2 linked regions of the Neurospora crassa OR74A genome follow. The protein of the gene in region 2 purifies or fractionates together with the protein of the main gene of each other region. This does not show direct contact. Links are inferred from orthologs where the notes say so. Each region holds a gene or a part of one and is shown on either strand. Other genes may lie near its edges. The genes, in order: NCU11012 and NCU03838.

Region 1 (9,321 bases), on a different chromosome or scaffold from region 2:
GCTGATAAACCTTTCCGACGTTTGTTTTCTAGCGCGAACTACCTTGTTGACGGCCTTGTTATGGGCCAAACTTGTGACTGATCAAATTCGGGCAAGCAATATCTGGATTGGGATTGTCTAATGTCTGCTTTGGGACAAATGGTTACCGTTGTGGAAATTCGAAGGAATCTTCATGTGCCACAAATGACCACAAAAAACAAAACACAAGAAAAAAAGAAGATATTTGGACATGGGTGATTATGAAGGAAAGAGTCGCCAGACTTACTTGGGTCTTTACTGCATAGGTACAGGGTTTCAGATTGACATTTGACATCGAGACATGGTGGGATATCTGGTCTTATTGTTTGGGTTCTATGCTTTTTCTTCGATCTTTCCCGAGAGAAGTGTGAAGAGAGGCGCAATACTATTTAATGTATGTCTCAACATCAGTACACCTCCCGCTCTCGTGACAATAACTTGGGTTTTTATGATATAACCAGTAGTAGTAATTCTTCCGGAATTACGAGGCATCCGCGAAGGAACGCATAGCCTCGTCACGGTACTCGAATTTTTCCACTCCAGATCGATGCATCCTTCTTCGAGGGCAAACCGCGTCATGTACGAGAGGATTCTGCAGCCCAGCGGGTGATGATGGGCACAGCCTTATTTTCCATGTAGTCTGCTCTTGGTCCCTTGGCCCCATCGAACAGTTGCAGATGTTCAGATTGGGTAATTTGTGTAGTTGTCAGGCTGCTGAAGCAGACCTCAAAACCATCGTAATTACCGTGCTGTAGTTCTCGCTCTCGGGAGAGGTAAACATGTAATGGTAGTCTGGGCATATAGATGTCTCCAAGCTTGAAGCCGTGATATGGTGAGATCAGGACATCGTTAATGGTATATGGTTGGCTTCTTACTCCTTTATTCCAATGGTCATTGCGTAGTACTTCTTAAAGGTTGTAGCCGTTGATGGCCCCTGGATTAAATTAACAGCTGCAACTCAATATCCATACAGAAATAAAGATGAGAATGCGAAGTTGAAGATGGCAATTAAGGAAGTTGAAAAGTAAGAATCGCGTAACGCCGTGAGACTGATATCATCTAGCCTCAAAGGCGTTGAAGGAGACGGCGAGAGGTATAAAGGATATACAATGAAGGCTTCTGTGGCGCTACGAACCCTTGTCATTGTCCTATGTTGCTTTGAACGGAGGATGATTTTTCTCGTGGGGGAAAGGGGAGGGAGGGGGGGGGCAATAAGAGCTTCAAAACTTCCCTCTTCAACCCATCATCGAACTGGACTGACCAAACAAACCAACTTCGTATTGTAGATGGACCGCATGCAGGTACCCGTTTCCTATGACAGCAAGATATAGGGGCAGGACGTTCATCCAAAACCCTTATCAGTTATTGCAGCTCCTCCTCCTCAGCTCCCCTACAATAACATCATGACTTTCTCCTTTTGTACAAAATCACATTGAATTTGTAGAAGTATGACCTAGACCTCTCAATAGAAACTTGCAAGTCTTCAATAATCCTACCTCTACAACAGAGAGCCGGAAAGCATCGGATCGGATCAGATCAGATCACGTCCCGTCCCGTCTTCCCCTGCTCCCGCTCTCAGCTGAAGTGAAGCCGGAAGGTGATTATTACCTGAAAGGACCATGAATGACATCTAGGGCCCCAAATGCAGAAAAGGGAACAATTTACACATTGAGATTACGTGCCGGAATCCACGACAATTAAACATCGCCCCCCTGTGAGGTGACAGTGTGATGGCCTACGCCATGGGCTTACACTGAGTTCAACACGAGGACTTCATTATACATATATCGGAACAACGCTTCATTTCCAGCAACCTCGGACCTGTTTCCTCAGCCTAGTCACTTAGCCATTGTCTTACTACAACGCCATGGCGTTGAAGTCTCCCTCCTACACGTTGAAAACTCAGTGAGCACCAGTCCCTTCGACTCTTCTCTTCAGCTTGCTACCCTCATATATTGTGATGGGGTACTCAATTGTTTGATGGCCCATCATCCAAGTCCCCATACCACTAAAGCTGCAGGTAGGTACCTTGACAGGAAAAGTATGTAGTAGGGTTTTGCCGAGAGCAAGAAATTGGATATCACTGTTCTTTCGATATTTGGGTCCGAAAGGCTTCGGTGACCGGATGTCCAGCGTGATGTGGCGTCGTTGTGTTTATTCCAGACTGGACGTCAGTGAGCTCAATACACCATCTGCTTCTGAGCAATTTGTAGAATGTATACCGCATTGACTTCTTCGCACCATGACCGCTTCAGTGCCATGGTTCTCATATAAGACAACCTGCTTCTTGCTGCTCAGCATCTGAACTTCTTCCCCCGGCAGCACTCCAACCATCCCAAGGGATTCTCACGGTATTCAAATCGTCACCACCATGGCTTCGCTCACCCTTCGAGCTGCAGCGCTAGCAGCCATCGCCCTAGTCCACGTTGGTGTCCGTGCAACAACCATCGAACTCCCTCCCTGCCTTGACCCCTTCCAGCCTTTCATCTACTCCGGCTGCTACGCCGACACCGGCAACCCTCACGCCCTCAGCCTGCGCAGCCAGCTCAACCAGCAGGACATGACCATCGAGAAATGCGTCTCTGTCTGCAAGGGTAATGGCTTTCGTTACGCAGGTCTAGAGTACTACGGCGTGTGCTACTGCGGCAACACCGTCAGCGGCCAGCAGATTGACGAGGAGCAATGCAACTACCCTTGCACCGGCAACTCCTCGCAGGTCTGTGGAGGCACTGATATCATATCCGTCTACCAGGATCCCACTTTCTTGCCGGTTGATGAGGTCACGGTTGCGGATTATGACCATTTGGGATGTTGGACTGATGATTCCGAGTACGGAAGGGCGTTGGCTTATCCCCAGGATCAGCTTGAAGGGTCTACCTTGACGACGGAGAAGTGCTTGCAAGCTTGTCGGGATGGGGGGTATCCGTTTGCCGGGACTGAGTTTGGCGGTAAGTAGCAACTTGTTACTTGATGTGGTGTGAATGAGAGCACTGGATGCTGACTTCCTAACCCACCCCTAGGCGAGTGTTGGTGCGGTGTTGTCATAGGCAACGGAACCTTCTCCGCCCCTGATAGCGAGTGCGATATCCCTTGCAACGGAAACTCCACGCAGATTTGCGGCGGACGTGCTCGTCTCAACCTCTACGTCGCCAACGAGCTTCAGTCACTCGAACCTTGTGGTTACGTGCCTCCCCCAGAAAGTAGTAGCAGCTCTTCCGTCACAGCATCCTCATCAACAACTCCAGTTGCTTCTTCGCAATCTACCTCCGACATAACCAGCTCGACGGCGACGACTTCTGACGTACCCTCTTCGACTACTACTTCTTATGTCCTCAGCTCAACCACCACCACTTCCACCACTTCCATCACTTCCACCACCCTAGCCACCACCCTAGCCACCACCACTTCGCCACCCCCTACCACTACCTTAACAACCACGTCCACCACCACCACCACCACCTCCTCCTCCTCCATCTGCAAAGAAACAGTCACTCTCCCGCCCACCTGCGAGTACAAGTGCGGCAAATGGTGTTCCTCCCCTTTGCCGGACTGGGACTCCCCCCAATCCTGCTTCCCCAGCCACGCCAACTGCTTCCTCCAAGTATCCGCCTGTTTCAAGCAAGCCGGATGGCCGGGGGCGCTCGACTGCTTCGGTTTTGCCGAGTGGTGCTCGGCCCTGAGCACCTACTGCAAGGGATCAAGCAAACCGGGGGGCATCTGCTCCAAGAAGGATTTCTGGAATCACAAGCCGCCTTCGTCGCCCTCCCTTACCGGACCTGGTGTTCCGACAACGACGGTGATTACGGTTCCTTGTCTCCCTGTTAGCACTGGCAAGCCGACATCTACTTCCGTTCCAACGTCCACCAAAGCGGCCACATTCACAACCAGCACCACCACCACCGGCACCAAATGCCCAATCCCAACATCCACCTCCCTCTGCAACCCCCCCAAAAGCAACAAACCCCCCGTAGGCGGGATCCCTCTCCCCGTAGTAACCTGCAACGACCTTCTCTCCTCTTTCTCGTCCGGTCACCCCTTCAAGCTGTACACGGACTCGGACTCGAGCAAGTGCAAGTCATACGCTCGCTCGTCGTTCTCGACAGCCTGTCTGGATGCGTGCCAGGAGCAGTACGATGATTGTGTGGATGTGTACGCCAAGGGGTGCAAGGAAGGAAAGTACGGCAAGGATGATTCGACCTCGTACGCGGGGGCGGTGCTGAAGTGTAAGGAGCAGTATGCGGATTGTACGTTGGCGAATTGGGGGAAGAATGCGGGAGCGAAGTGTAAGGTTTGGGGGACGGGGCCTTGGTGAGGTGCTGACTGCTGAGCCGTGTGTGGTGCTGGGACGCAGAAGGAAAGGAAGGGAAGCTTGGGAGAACTGGTGTTCATAAGGATGTTGCTGGACATGCGTGGTGATAGGGATGGCGGTAAGCTTGACACGAACGCTGTTCTTCGATTCTCAAGTAGGTAATTTTGTATGAGTGTTATACTCTATTCCTTTTCTGTATAATTGACATACTAATTGATCTGAATATTCGCTATCAAATAGCGACAGGAAATCTAAGCAGATATCAGCATGAAAAGTGCGGCGTAAACAAGGCTCTTGATACCTCATATGCCCAGGCCTGTTGAACAATAGCACGAACGTACAGGACAATGACTGATCAGACGCACGTGAATTTTTGAATGGGCCCTTTATTCAACTCGAGGAGCACATTGTGCTCTTGTTGTTGCCCTTTGGATCGAGTCCAACCGTCCCAAAATGATCAAATATGATGTATAAAACTTCAACCTGAACGCCCTCGCTAATGCAATTTTGTGTATTTTCTGACCAAAGACTGGGTCGCCCCTATTACCCCTGACGGGTCTTGTAGGTTTCCGTTTACTGCAGGAGCTCCTCGCAGGTCCAGTCCTCGTAGCTACGTAGGGATGTTAGCGGGTATTCGGCTAGGTGCCGGGAAAAGGACAACTTACTATCCATCAGGCATGTAACGACGGACAATCAGAGGAATCTTCTTCTCGCGCAGCTCCTTGATGGCGATTTGAAGAGGATCCGTCTCACCCTCGAGATCAACCAGCACTGGCGCGTTCATGCTACAAAGGTGGTTCCTTGTCAGCCCAAATCCGTCCCTACAGTCGTCCAAGCGCCACCGATGAGGAAACCCACCTGATTTGCAGAGCACGTGTGCCGAGGATACGAGCTTTCTCGTACTTGGTCATGTAAGGTGTCGTGGAACGCTGGTCGTTGGGAATCTTCTTGTCCTTGTGGGATTTCTCGTTGCCCTTGCCAGCGTTGGCGGCCGCGTTAGGGTCACCCGAAGTGACTATGTTGTTATCGTTTTCGGCCTCGTCGACTTCGTCGCCGGGTCTGCCCGCTACGTCGTCGTCCGCGGGCTCGGGTTCGGGCTCGTAGTACTCATCCGGGTCCTCATCGAAGGCGGGCTCGTCGCTGGCGGCTACGTGTTAGCATCTCTTGCGTTACGCATGAGTTGCGGTATCATGTGTAGAGGTTGATGCCAAGGACTAGGTGGGTAGGTGGCGTTGGAAACCTACATAGGCTCGCGATCATCGTCACCGTGGTCACCGTAGTCGGACATTTTTGGTGGGTTTGTTTAGGAGTTGATTGATGGTAAGGATAATAAGATATGGGCTGCAGCTGCACAAGTAGAGGTAGGTATGTGGACAAAATGGTATTGCCCAAAACGCGTGGATGTGGAAGACTGGACGTGTTTGGCCGACCGTGGATGCGCAAGGTGGTGAGGGAAGGGCGAAGGGCTGACAAAAGGACGACAGAAAATTCGAGTGGGGCCGCTACTTTATGCAAGGCTGAGCCGTGCCAAGACATAAAACCTTAAAGAGACATGGGGGGTAAGAAGTGATGATGTCTCATTCGTCCAAAGTAGTCTAAAGAGTAGAAGAGGGGAGGGATCTGAGAAGCCCCCACCTAGCTAACTTAAATAGGCTAAGAATGCCCAATGCACGTGACACCAGAGAAGTGGGTCACAGGGGTGGGGCCAATGGATGGGCCATCAGCTTCTTCATGGGTTCCCTTCCTCCAGGTCCCCCGAATTTCACTCGCTCGTAAAATTGCCTGCCGGTGCTGGAACCGGAAAACGTCAGATAAACTTTTTGAAGCGGCAGGGACACCCACCCCGGACGAAAAGTCCAATCGGCAGGTGCAATGCAAAGGTTCCGTCACAAATGTGAACCTCCAAAAAAAAAATCCATCCAAGCGAATTTCCCAAAAAGCGTGGAGCTCCCTCTCTCCAATGTCGAAGCTCCAACCAAGTCCAGGGTAGCAGGCCACGGCGACCAGTGCTGCTACTCCAGGCCTCAAAATGAAGCGGAAACAGGACGACGAGCGCCTTGATGGCCATGACGGCCCCGACCATGCTCAAGTCCAATCCAAGAAAAGAGCTACTGATTGGGTCCAGCAGCAGCAGGAGGAGGAACTCTCACAAGTAGAGCAGCTCGAGGCACCGGCCCTACCCTCGCAATCGCGATCGCCACCTGCTGGCGCAGAGGCGGCAGCTTCTGATGGCAACGGCAACGACAGCCTCGAACTCGACCCTGACTCGGCCTCTGTTGCCTCGGTTGCCAACACCTCCCTTACCCACGCCGATCCGACGACTACGGTAGCAGCAACTAGTATCAACACTACCACGACTCGTGCTTCACGCCGCTTCCCCTCCGATCTCAAGACCATCAGGTGCACATTCGCCGGTTGCACCAAGACCTTCAACCGCCCTGCTCGTCTGGCTGCCCACCTCCGATCTCACACAAACGATCGCCCGTTCAAGTGCCCCTACGATGACTGCGACAAAGACTACCTCGAAGAGAAGCACCTCTCCCAGCACATCAAGGGATCTCATACCAACGATCGAAAGTACACATGCCCCGAGCCCGGTTGCGGAAAGTCCTTTGTCACTAATACACGACTTCGCCGCCATGCTCTGGTTCACGAGGGCGCCGATCGCTACCGCTGCCGCGGCTATGGGGACTGTGTCCAGAGCTTCCGCAAGCACCAAACGCTCCAGAGACACATCCGAACCGTTCATCTAGGCAAGTCGGCATATCCATGCGGTAACGACGGGTGTGACGCCGGCTTCGACACTGCAAGTGCCTTGCGAAGGCACGTAGAGCGCGAGCACGGTGACCTGAAGTTTTGGTGCGACGAATGCAACGCTGAAGGAGAGGGTGATGACAGTGGAGGTCGCCGTGTTGGATTTACCACGATGCTGCTGCTTCAAGCCCATATGAAGAAGGAGCACAACAACTGCGCCTTCTGCGGTGTCAGATGCGGTACACAAAGCAACATGATGCGTCACGTTGAGCTCTACCACTCAGCCAAGACAGTCGAAGATCGAAAGACGATTGCTTGCACGTGGGAGGGCTGTGACAAAAAGTTCACGCGTGTCTCCAATCTCAACACGCACATCAAGTCTGCCCATGAAGGCCATCGTTTCGTCTGCGGACAGACCGATACTTACGATGCCAAGGTTTCGGAGATTGCGGACTGGAACTTCGCGGAAGAGGGTTGTGGCCAGGGATTTACCACCAGGGTCAAGCTGGAGGAGCATGTTCTTCATGTTCATCTTGGGAAGAAGCGTCCACCCAAGCTGTATCCCGTCCCTTCCATGGTCGCCCAGGCTCAGCAAGCTCAACAGGCTTTGCTGGACACTCGTGACCTTGCTTGCCCTGCGTACGGATGCACCGCTCGCTTCATCCGTCATGCTGATCTGGATAGACATATCCAAAATGACCATGGCAACAATGGTATCAAAGAAGAGGAGCAACAGTTGCTGCTCCTACCTCAATTGCATACAGGCGAGGAACAGGCAGCTATGGTACCATTTCCGAGTGCTGCCAACTTGAGCGTTGACGACTTAGGATATGTCATCGATCCTAGTCTAGAACCCCAGCATCAGCAAGGAGATGTCCACTCCGCATTCACCTCAGCTGGCGCTACCCCTCCCCCTCAAATGGAGCAATTCACGAATGCTCCAGTTAGCGATGGCGGAAATCTCGGCGCTGCGCCTTTCTGGCTTAGTGATCATGGAGATCCGTTCTCACTGCAACACCAGTCGCCTGTCTTTGAAGACTGGGCTGCCGACATGCAGCTGTTGATGGGCCAAGATGGTGAGGGTTCGGACCCGCAGTTTGCTAGAGCATAGATGATGCAGTAATACGGGTTCATGGTTCACAATGGGGGAATTGTCGACTGTATGATGTTGCATTGCTGAAAACAAAACGGAAAAAAGATGGGAAGGTTCACGGAAATATTGATACCCTTTTGTTATGTGGCTTTGACAGTATGTAGACCGCGTGGAGGAATGGAGATGGCTTACTTGTACGGTTACGGCGTTTGGACGGAGTAGACATATAATACCGGTTGTGGTTAACTCACCGTGCTCTCAGCAAGACTCCCTTGTTCGCTATCATTCACGAACATATAGTAGTCTTATCGTAATATTCTTTTCTTGTCCCTTTGGATGTTTCTCTCACCCTATGATTTCCTTCTTCATGTGTCATTCCAGGACTACCGCCACACTTGATTTCCCGACACATACACTGCCCGGAAGAAAAGTTCTCAGCATTATGTGATCAAGCACCACCCCCATTGACTTTGTGCAGCATGGCTAACAAAAGCAAATATATCAAAAGCAAAATTTGTCTCCTCCACAATCTCTATCCTATCTCACGCGCGTATAATTGCCCTTGCTCTGCTCCATCCTAAGACTCTCCTCCTGACTAGGCAACGGCGCGCGTCTCCTCCCTGACGAATCATACTGATCATTCCCACCATCGGGGTGAGTGGCTCCTCCCGGCGGACCACCAGCACCAGGAATCAGCGGCGGAGGCGCAAACCCAGGAGGGGGCATAGGGAAGCCCGCCGCGCCCGGCGGGGGGATTAGGCCAGGGGGCAGGATGCCGGGAGGGGGCATCGGTGCGCCAGCCGAGCCTGGCGGCGGCGGCGGTTGATAACCGGCCTTCTTCATCATTTCAGCGAGCGCGCTAAAGTCGGGCGGGTTCTTCAGATCTAAACCCGGAAGGGGCGGCGGGACGACACCGGCAGGCAGACCGGGCATGCCGGGGATAGGGAAGGGGAGAGGAGGCGGGACACCGGTGGCACCGCCGACGCCGGGGATGATGGGTGGTGGCGGTATAAAACCGCTGCCGCCAGGGCCAGAGCTGGGAACCTGCTGGAGAGGAAGGCCGGGAATGCTGGGGAAGGAAAGACCAGGCATCATTCCGCCGCCGCCAACGCCGGGCTGCCCCTTGATGGGCATCTTTTGATCCACC
Region 2 (9,224 bases):
GATAGGAACCAACACCCCGGAAGGCCAGTCAACAAGCAGTGTAGCGAATGCCAGCGACAAGGGAAAAAGGGTAGCAAAAGGCAATGACACATACGATCACGGTGCTTCAAGGTCGATATCTGAGGGGGGGCCCGTTGGTCCACCCCCAGGTTTTGGTCCGCAATCACCAACAGCCTTCCTCATGAAGCCCGGGGACTACCTACCACTGGCCCAGCAATGCTTCAAGGAAGCTATCCAGCTCGCGGAACAGCACCTTTGGGGATCACATTCGCTACGGCTTTCGGTCAAGACAGAATACGCAGCCTTCCTATACGAATGCGTTCACGATGCCGAGGCTAGCCGAAGACTCGCAAAGGAAACCATCTCGGAGGTGTATGAGGCGACGGAAGGCATCGACAACGACATGTTTAACGATGCGTGTGAGCTCGTCACAGTCCTCGGGAAAATGATGAAGCGCGGTTTGGGGTCGAATAATACTCTACGAAGCAAGGGTCACGGAACATCGAATTCTGGCTCGCAGGGAACACCCAGGATCGAGCAAATAGAAGCCCAGGCACCAGTCACAGCTCCGCCAGGGATGATATGAGCGAGAGAACTCGGCATTGGTTACTTTCCACCCTGTCGGCAGCGCTCTGGAAGGAGGACCCAAGTCCAGATGTCAGAGAGAAAGCCGTTGAGGATGCTCATCACCACTGGAGCCAGGCACGATCAAGCACCGTGCCATCGCAGGGATATGCCAACAGACTGAACCTTCCAGAAACCTGGCTCAATGCGTCAGTCACCGAGCAGCACGAACAACTTCGAATCCCGGATGCCGATCTTGCATTATGACATCATCGCCTATATACTACTATGCAGTACGTATATCAGCCTTTTGTTGTTATCCATGCCGATTAATACGCTTTATTTGGACCCACGGCATTCTATATTACACGGGACATATAACCATCGTCCGAGAATCAGAAACCATGCCATTTTCAACATGAGAGTTTGAGCGCAACTTCTCTTCTATCTGGCGGTTTTTGGAGTTACAGAGCGATCGCCTTTGGTCTTCATACGACATCAATATGTCATTTCACTTACGGTACAATCATGTTCTGGTTTTTCTTGTATATACTCATTGCCTTCTTTTGTTTTTGTCAATTTGATACCCAAACGCGTCCGTTTCGACCGATGGTGTCTTTTTTTGTGGCTTTTTTGCGTTTGATGTCTTTTTGCTTTTGGGTGAATGCGGGAAATCTCGGTTTGATGGGGTGGCTGTTGTTTTTGGATACTCATCATATGTCAGCTGTAGTTTGCTGTCAACATAACTGTAACTGTGTAAATACTGCTGAAAGATCGTCGACAGTTGATGGATCCGTTACAAGAAATGAAGAAGCGTGGTCGTAAGAAGGTACGAATGTGCGAGGAAACTCAGTCATTGTAACCGAGAGAGTGAACGATAAGCATAGCACCAATTGATAACCAGAAATACCTTTGCATAAAGGTGAAAGTGGGGATCGCGATCCTGGTCAACCGGAGTGTCCGAGAGAAAACCAATAAAAAAAGAGGAAAAAAGAAAAAAGACGTCGTCGAAGAGTACAGAAAAGTGTAAACCTCGAGCAAGCCGGGCATATACTCTATCACAGCGCAGACCAAGTCCGTTGTATGGCAGACCTCTCCGTAAGCGGCCGAAACACAATTTCCGAGGCACAGTGTCATCCGTAGCATCAAAAATACCCCGTTGGGAATCAGATTCCTTTGTGTAAACAAAGCGAAAAGGGGTGATCCTCGACCAAATGGGAAGCATGTCTGGGTTAGGGTTGTTGGTTGATCGCTTCAAATGCTTGGCATTCGGCATGTAACATTTGTGTGGCGGCTGGCAATCGGGGCCTACACTCGAACCTTTACCCGTTGCAGAACATCAACTTTCCAACAACAACGCAAGGTGGTCGAAGAGCGAAACACCACGATTTTTGCTCCAAGTCATCCAACACTACTCACTCACCATCTCCGTCACATAGTTAATCTTGACCCAACGCAACTTCCAAACCGTCATCCGCCGCATCGTCCTGTACTGTACCGAGCGACACCCTCCGAAAACAAAACACATACAACCAATCACCTCCCCCACCCGCCCCGACTCGCGCGCAGCGGAGTCCGTAATTACCCATTCACGATGCCCAAAGCAGAAGTCGGCTCCGCCAAATATCTGGCCAACAAGATGAAATCCCGCGGCCTCAACCGGCTGCGCTGGTACTGCCAACTGTGCGAGAAATCCTGCCGCGACGAGAACGGGTACAAGATGCACTGCCAGTCGCCCTCGCACACGGCCAAAGCGCTCGAGGCGGGCGCCAACTTCAAGGGCGTGCAAGACACCTTTTCCGACCAGTTCCTCAAGGATTTCATCGCGCAGCTGAAGACCAGCCATGGCGAGAAGGAGATCCACATCAATAAATTTTACCAGGAGGTGATTGCGCGCAAGGACCACGTGCATCTCAACGCGACCAAGTGGCATTCCCTCACAGAGTTTGCAAAGTTTTTGGGCAGGGAAGGGTTGTGTAGGGTGGAGGAGAAGGAGGGGGAGGGGTTGTTTGTGGCGTGGATTGATGATTCTCCCGAGGCGATGGAGAGGAGGGAGAAGGTCAGGAGGAAGGAGATGATGGATAAGGGGGATGAGGAGAGGGAGCAAAGGGCTTTGAGGGAGCAAATTAAGAGAGCGCAAAAGGATGCCGAGGCGAGGGGGGTTAGCTTTGATGCGGAGGAGGAGGAGAGGAAGGAGTTGAAGAGGAGGGAGGGGGAGAAGATTAAGTTGAGTTTTGGAAAATCGGCCACAACAAAGAAAGAGGAGCCCGGGTCGGGGTCGGGTGAGGGTGAGAAGGGTTCGACATCGGCGGCGGCAATGCCAACACCGGGTGCTGGGGACGGATCGGTTCCTCCTGCTGCGGAGGAGAAGAAGGATACCGTGACGCCACCTTCGACAATAACGAAGACGACGACGGACGGTGTAAGCTCTGAGCAAGCAAAGGTGGAAGCAAGTTCAAAGGGCGAAGAGGCCACTGCCAAGACGACGGCAGAGGAAAGCAAACCCGCGGTTGACTCGACTGCTGGTCCTGCTGGTCCTGCTGCTGCCGCTGCTCCCGCCACGAAGCCGGTATCTATGAAGTTCGGCATGAAGCCCCAACCGAAGAACGTCTTCAAGAATGCGTTTGCTGGGGCTCCCAAGAAGGTTATGGCTGCTCCGCCCAAGAAGATGAGCGAGGCCGAGAGGATAATGAAGGAGGAGTTGGAGCGCAAGAGGGCTCGCGAGGAGAAGGGTGGGAACTTTCCCAACAAGAAGCCACGCTTCCAGTTTTAACATACTGTGGAGTCTCACGTGGGTAACTGGTCAAAGGTTATGCTATCTCCGGGTTTGGCAATATTTCGGTACATGTTATAGGGGCGTTTTCGGCGTGATGGGAAATGTTTAAAAAAAAGATACCATATTGCATTGGGGTTTTCGTAAAAGGGATCCGTAGCTGGATGAATAATCTTCCATATAGGTTAGGTAGTGATAAACTCATTTGTATGATTGTTGTATTTCGCTGCAGTGTGTAATTATAGCCCTGGGTTGATCATGCAAAACCCAAAAAATGGCCACTATCCTGCTGTCTAGACCACGCCCTTTAAACCAGCCTTAACGCCTTGAACTCCTGTTGCCTTCCCTTTAACAGGCATTCCGCATTCCGCTCCTGGGTTGTCTGTGAACGATCTATTATCGGTCCCTCTTCCTTCTTGCTTGTCGGTTCTCTTTCCTGCTTTCTTATCCGCCCTATTCCGTCTTGTTTTCTTGCACCGCAGCTTCGAGTTTCTAGTCCGCTTCCGTCGCACTGCCATCGCGCCTGCTCCAAGTTAGTTTCTGGCTGTGCCCCGAAAACCCCACGATCATAGCCTGCTTCGCCAGACCACACGAGTGTAAGCAGGAAACTTACGGGATATACTGAATGCCGTCATCCTCCAACGTGGTGCGCACGTCATCCGGCAACTGGCCCGACACCTTGGTCGCGTATACACCCTTCACATAACCGTCCAGCCTCTGCCACTTCGCCACCCACGACTTCTGCGGGTTGGCAATGGTGATGATTCCTTCAAAGACTTGCGACGTGCAGCTGTCGATCTGATCCGGCGAGCCCTGGAGATGGAGGAAGTCTTCGCAGTTGGGGCATCCTTCGTCACGGAAGCGCTATGACAAAAACAAAAAAGGTCAGAAACTTGTCGGTCATAGAGTGACTAGAAACGAGGAAGGGCAGCTCGACTTACAGCATAGGTCATGACGATAGAGCAGACCATGCAGGCACGAAGGTAGCGCTGCTGGCCGGGGGCAACGTAGTTCTCCGACATTTTTGGGAGATGTGTAGGGATGGCGATGTTACTGGTAACTTTGGGGGCGGAAACCGATAACTCACTCGTCTACGAATAGCTGAGCGAGTGAATGAATAACTGGAAAAGGACACTTGACGAAGGAGGGTGATGTTCTTTAGAGGAATGCATGTGAACATCGATAAGTTGTTCTCTGGAAAGAAGATCGGCCGCCTCTCTTGCCTGCCGCGTCGCGCCAGCGCAAGCTCCAGGTCTCACAGCGGGCCAGGAGTTGACATGCAAGGGGCGCACGGTCCAGGAGCTAGAGAAGCAGGAGAGAATGTGGGAAAGGTGGGGGCCGAAGTGGAAGCTGGGGCCGATGCCTGGAGGTGGACAGTGGAGACACTGCCGTGCAGTTGGGCTGGGCGCCGTCTCACACTCATCCACAGTTCAACTCTGTTCGCCGAGTCCGGGGCGTTGCATCCGAGTTCCATTCAGTTGCCAGTGGTCGCCCGCTTCTTATCGAGCAACCAGGTGGATGGCAGCTGTGCTTTTTGGCCCAAGGGAGGACAGTCAACTGCTGCAGTGATACTCTGATAACTGAACTGAGCTCTCTACCTACCCGTCATTCTCTCGACTTCCACTTCTTCCACTTGTTTCGCGCATCCTCGATTCGACACGACTCGAATCATCACATCTTCCAGTTTGCTGCGATATTGCCTGCTCCAACTCTATTACGACACGACACCTGACAACGTCGTTCGAATTCCCAAAAACCACACAACCACAGCCACGACCAGCGCTGGCGTAGCATGCAAAGCCCCTCGACTGTCAAACCACCTTCTATCCGAACTCGGCCAATTACCCCGGAGAGTGGAAGATGAATTGATTGCACCCGGTGGACGCATTGTTGAACAGGTGTAGCAGTAACAGCAGCAGACCGCGGTAGCAGCGAACCACCTGTGACGACCCCGTTCGACCGACCCGACCACCACGGCGACCCCATCCCGTCATCAGCGCCAGCGATCGAGCTAGGGAAAATGGGGAACAACCCCTCCACCTCCAGAGACTCCAAGACCCCGAATCCGCAATCCTCCTCCTCCTCCTCTCAATCGCAGTCTCAGCACCAGTCGCTGGCTTCCATCCAAAATGACTCTGCCAGAGCAGTGAAGCGCGATACCAAGCACCCTATACCGGTCCCAAATCAGCGAGTCGCTGCCCCTCCTGAGCCCTCCTTGACCCAGGCCCAGGGCACCGCCGTCCAGCCGCCCTCAACCACCGCTCGTCCCAAGTCGCTGCACTCGCGAATGCCACCTTCTCAGAGCGGCTCGCCGGGCTCGTCGGTGCCTACCAGCTCTGCCACCCCCACCAAACCTGTCGAAGTAAGACAGCTGAGACCCGAAGACAGTCATGAGCCCGCGAAACCTGTAGCCGTGCCCACACCCTGCCACGCCTCGTCGTGCTCACCTAGGTCGCCGGTGCGATCACCGCTATCAGAGAGATCGGATGCCTTTGAGACTGCGGCTATGCAGCTGAGCAGTCTGCAAGATGTCTCGTACCTGACCAGGCCGCCGCGACTACCTCTGCCGATCGAGGAAGAGGTCCACACACCCGGATCGCCTATCATTGCCCCGACCGACATTGGGGTCCCACTCGAGGATGCCGACACTTTCACCGCGCTCACCAGACGCTCTTCCAACTTGAGTAACAGCTCAACTCTGGACGAAGAAGACACGGAGGAGCTACGGGTGGACAAGACTAGACCGACTGTCCCCACCAGGCTCGAATGGCTCCGTGGCGGCGAGAAGGTTTACGTGACAGGCACCATCTTCCAATGGAACAGGAAGACACGATTACACCCGGTGTAAGTACTTTCTACATCCCGGCCACTTTCGCTCTCAATACGGATGGGGCCTTGCTGACACCGCTACTCGCCAACAGTGAGGGCCGACCGGGTGTATTCGCTGCTATTATCAATATCCTGCCGGGCACACATCACGTTCGCTTTCTGGTTGACGGGCAAATGCAGACCTCGCCAGACTTGCCGACCACGGTAGACTTTGGCAACAACCTGGTCAACTACATCGAGGTCAGCCCTGATGATGTGGGGCGCACCGCTGCCCAGGCAGCTGCTGCAAGCGCCGCCAAGGATTCCCAGCAACCTACGGAGCCCAAAACCTCCGCGTCCGAGACGGAGGAAAGCAAGGCACCTAGGGACCGACCTGTCCCTCCGGCGGAGCTGTTCGAGAACAAGATCCCGCAATATCTACTCGACTTCGACGCACCCGAGGAAAGTCCACCTTACCTGAGTGCTGTCAACGCCATCGAGAAACTCCCAACGCCGCCTGCGCTTCCTGGCTTCCTCGGCAAGCCCATCCTCAACGCGGCCACCTTGATCAAGGATGACAACAGCGTTCTGAACATGCCCAACCATACCGTTCTTAACCATCTAGCTACTAGCAGTATTAAGAATAATATTCTGGCTGTGTCGGCCACGACGAGATACAAGAACAAGGTTCGTCTCCCCGTATTTCGTAGCTGCATCTTTTTGCACGTAGTCGTTGATGCTAACGGACTGTACAGTATGTGACGACAATCATGTACAAGCCAACAACGACAGAGGGCATCTGAGTTTGGAATGCTAGTAGTCAGAGCTGGGTACAGTTGGCTGGTGGCTACCACTACTAGACGAACAGCGCAAGTCATGAGTAGAATAGCGGTGCATGATGAACCGCCCAGTATGACCTATTCTAGATATGTCTACAAGTAATGTCTATAGGACGCTGTAGCGATGACGAGGACACTTTATGGAAGCGGGCGCAAATTGTTGTCGGCAAACTGTCCATGGGCATCCTGCTCCATTAAGGGGGCACTAAGGGACAACAAGAGGCGCATATAGAGTGGCTGCCGTGGATAGAGTAAAGGTTATGGGATTTGGGGGTATCGTCGTAATGGTCATCTTCGTCTTCGTTTCCTTCCTTGTCATTAGTCCCTCCACTTGACGAAGACTTCGTCGGTTCTGAAGCGTTGTGTACATGTGCTTTCATCAAGCGGCGTCCGGAAGCCCGTCTCGTAGGCCAATAGACCAGCATGAGCAATCATGATGCCGTTGTCGATGCAGAACCGCTCGTCGGTGGCGTAGACACTTCCGCCTCGCTCCGCTGCCATCGCGCCCATCATCTCCTGTAGCCGCTCGTTGCAACCGACACCGCCAACAATAAGAACCTGGTTGCTACCGACGTGCGCCATAGCCCGCTCGGTGATCTCGACAAGCATGGCAAATACCGTTTCCTGCAAGCTGAAGCACAGATCTGCGGGTGTAAACGGTTCGCCGTCGGGGCCCGGCTCGCCCGCCTTCATCTGCGCCGCCAAGTCATCTGCCCGCCCCAGGATTCCGCTGAACGAGCAATCCATTCCCTTGACCGCATACGGCAAGTCCAACAAGACTCGCCCACCTTGCTTGGCCAGCTGCTCAATATTGTACCCGGGCGCCGGGTCGTTGCTGATCTCCAGCGTGCGCGCGAACCGGTCCAGGCAATTACCCACTGCAATATCCAGCGTCTCGCCAAAGATACGGTACCGCTGCTCCGCGTACGCAATCACCTGCGTATTACCCCCGCTCACGTACAGCACCACCGGGTTCGACGCCCCCGTTATCGCCCGCCCCATCTCGATATGCCCGACACAGTGGTTCACGCCCACCAATTCTTTACCCCACAGCAGCGCGAGTGTGCGGGCGCCCACGGCCACCGACGTTAGGGGCCCGCCCATCCCGGGCCCCTTGGTGTAGCAGATGCAGTCGATTTCCGAGATGGAGACCCCCGACAAGGCGAGCGCCTTCTTGGCTACACGCACAAAGTAGGCACGGTGGTGTCGGGCTGTGTCCTTGGGAAGGAAACCGGTGCCGGGAGGAGAGACGAAGGTGTCGCGCACGTTGGACAGGACAAGGGCTTCGCCGGTGATGGGGTCGTGCGCAATGATGCCGATGCCGAGCTTGTTGGCGGAGCCTTCGCATCCGAGAGCGATGCGGCGGCCTTTGGCGTCGGGCATTGTTGGCTGTTGGGGCTTTGTTGGATAGAGCGAGGGAGGGAGAGGGTTTCGGTTACTTGGTGAATCGGGAGCCGGTTGCTTCGTATCAGATAACTCGCAAGGATATTTCGTTGGGGATGTTTATCGAGGACCTTGATATCCTTTGGTTGTTGATAGGCGTCGCGTCGCGTACTGAATAGGATGGATGGATGGATGTTGTCAGTGCCACATCCAATGCCAGATGTCAGATGGAGAAAGTGATAATGGAGGGGCACCTTTTTAGAGTGGGGAAAATTTCGTCGCGTCTGTGAATACCTAGGCTAGGCGCGCCGTAGTGATCAAGGTGACGAAACTCGAGATCGAGATGAAAGAGGATGTACATACTTATTCCCCCAGCGGGCCGGTATCCCGTCTCCTAAAACCGGTCGACATGTTCACTACTTGTAACGATGCTTTAAAGCCATTCTCGCCCGTTGTTCTTCTCAAAACAAGGGAACGGCCTCGCCATGGGAATCAGCAATGGGATTTCGTCAGAGCCTTCCATGGAGTCGATGAGGGGTTCAATGAAATGTGGGTCCCCGCAGCCGCTTGTGCACAGTCGAGTGGGACCTTTATGTTGCTTTGGATGCGCAATGCAATGTTATGTAAGGCAGGCACGTAGCGTGGCTCGTGCGCTAGTAGTAGCAACGATTTCTATCCACATATAGCCGCAACGGCGCAAACTGTGACCATGGATGCATGAGTTGTGTAAAAGACACTAGAAGTTTGATTATTTCTAGCTTTTTCGCCATGAGCTGATCCAACAGTTCCATTGCAACAAATATGTGCAGATGAGCTTACGTGATTTGACTTGCTCTGTGGAAGTGCAAAAAGGCTCC

Evidence for each region.
Region 1: the proteins of NCU03838 (region 2) and NCU11012 purify together in Saccharomyces cerevisiae (affinity purification with mass spectrometry, with the first as the bait; 3 studies listed by BioGRID). This does not show direct contact. The link is inferred for Neurospora crassa OR74A from reciprocal best matches to the Saccharomyces cerevisiae genes SPT4 and RPO26.

Annotation. Positions count from the first base shown.
Region 1 is NC_026503.1:2,363,767-2,373,087, reverse strand, and holds NCU11012 (DNA-directed RNA polymerase I), read right to left. Parts: upstream 5,919-9,321; 5' UTR 5,616-5,918; coding exon 5,572-5,615; intron 5,468-5,571; coding exon 5,186-5,467; intron 5,113-5,185; coding exon 4,993-5,112; intron 4,938-4,992; coding exon 4,901-4,937; 3' UTR 4,370-4,900; downstream 1-4,369. Other genes in the region: NCU00039 (hypothetical protein), read left to right, coding at 2,390-2,966, 3,039-4,330; NCU00038 (C2H2 transcription factor), read left to right, coding at 6,357-7,720, 7,846-7,900; NCU00037 (polyadenylation factor subunit 2), read right to left, coding at 8,712-9,321. UniProt on the Saccharomyces cerevisiae protein: DNA-dependent RNA polymerases catalyze the transcription of DNA into RNA using the four ribonucleoside triphosphates as substrates.
Region 2 is NC_026505.1:2,568,694-2,577,917, reverse strand, and holds NCU03838 (transcription elongation factor spt-4), read right to left. Parts: upstream 4,703-9,224; 5' UTR 4,360-4,702; coding exon 4,279-4,359; intron 4,202-4,278; coding exon 3,951-4,201; intron 3,861-3,950; coding exon 3,830-3,860; 3' UTR 3,510-3,829; downstream 1-3,509. Other genes in the region: NCU03840 (hypothetical protein), read left to right, coding at 1-586; NCU03839 (APF1), read left to right, coding at 2,159-3,337; NCU03837 (Snf1 kinase complex beta-subunit Gal83), read left to right, coding at 5,358-6,181, 6,259-6,832, 6,901-6,948; NCU03836 (O-sialoglycoprotein endopeptidase, variant), read right to left, coding at 7,303-8,367; NCU03835 (hypothetical protein), read right to left, coding at 9,040-9,103, 9,187-9,224.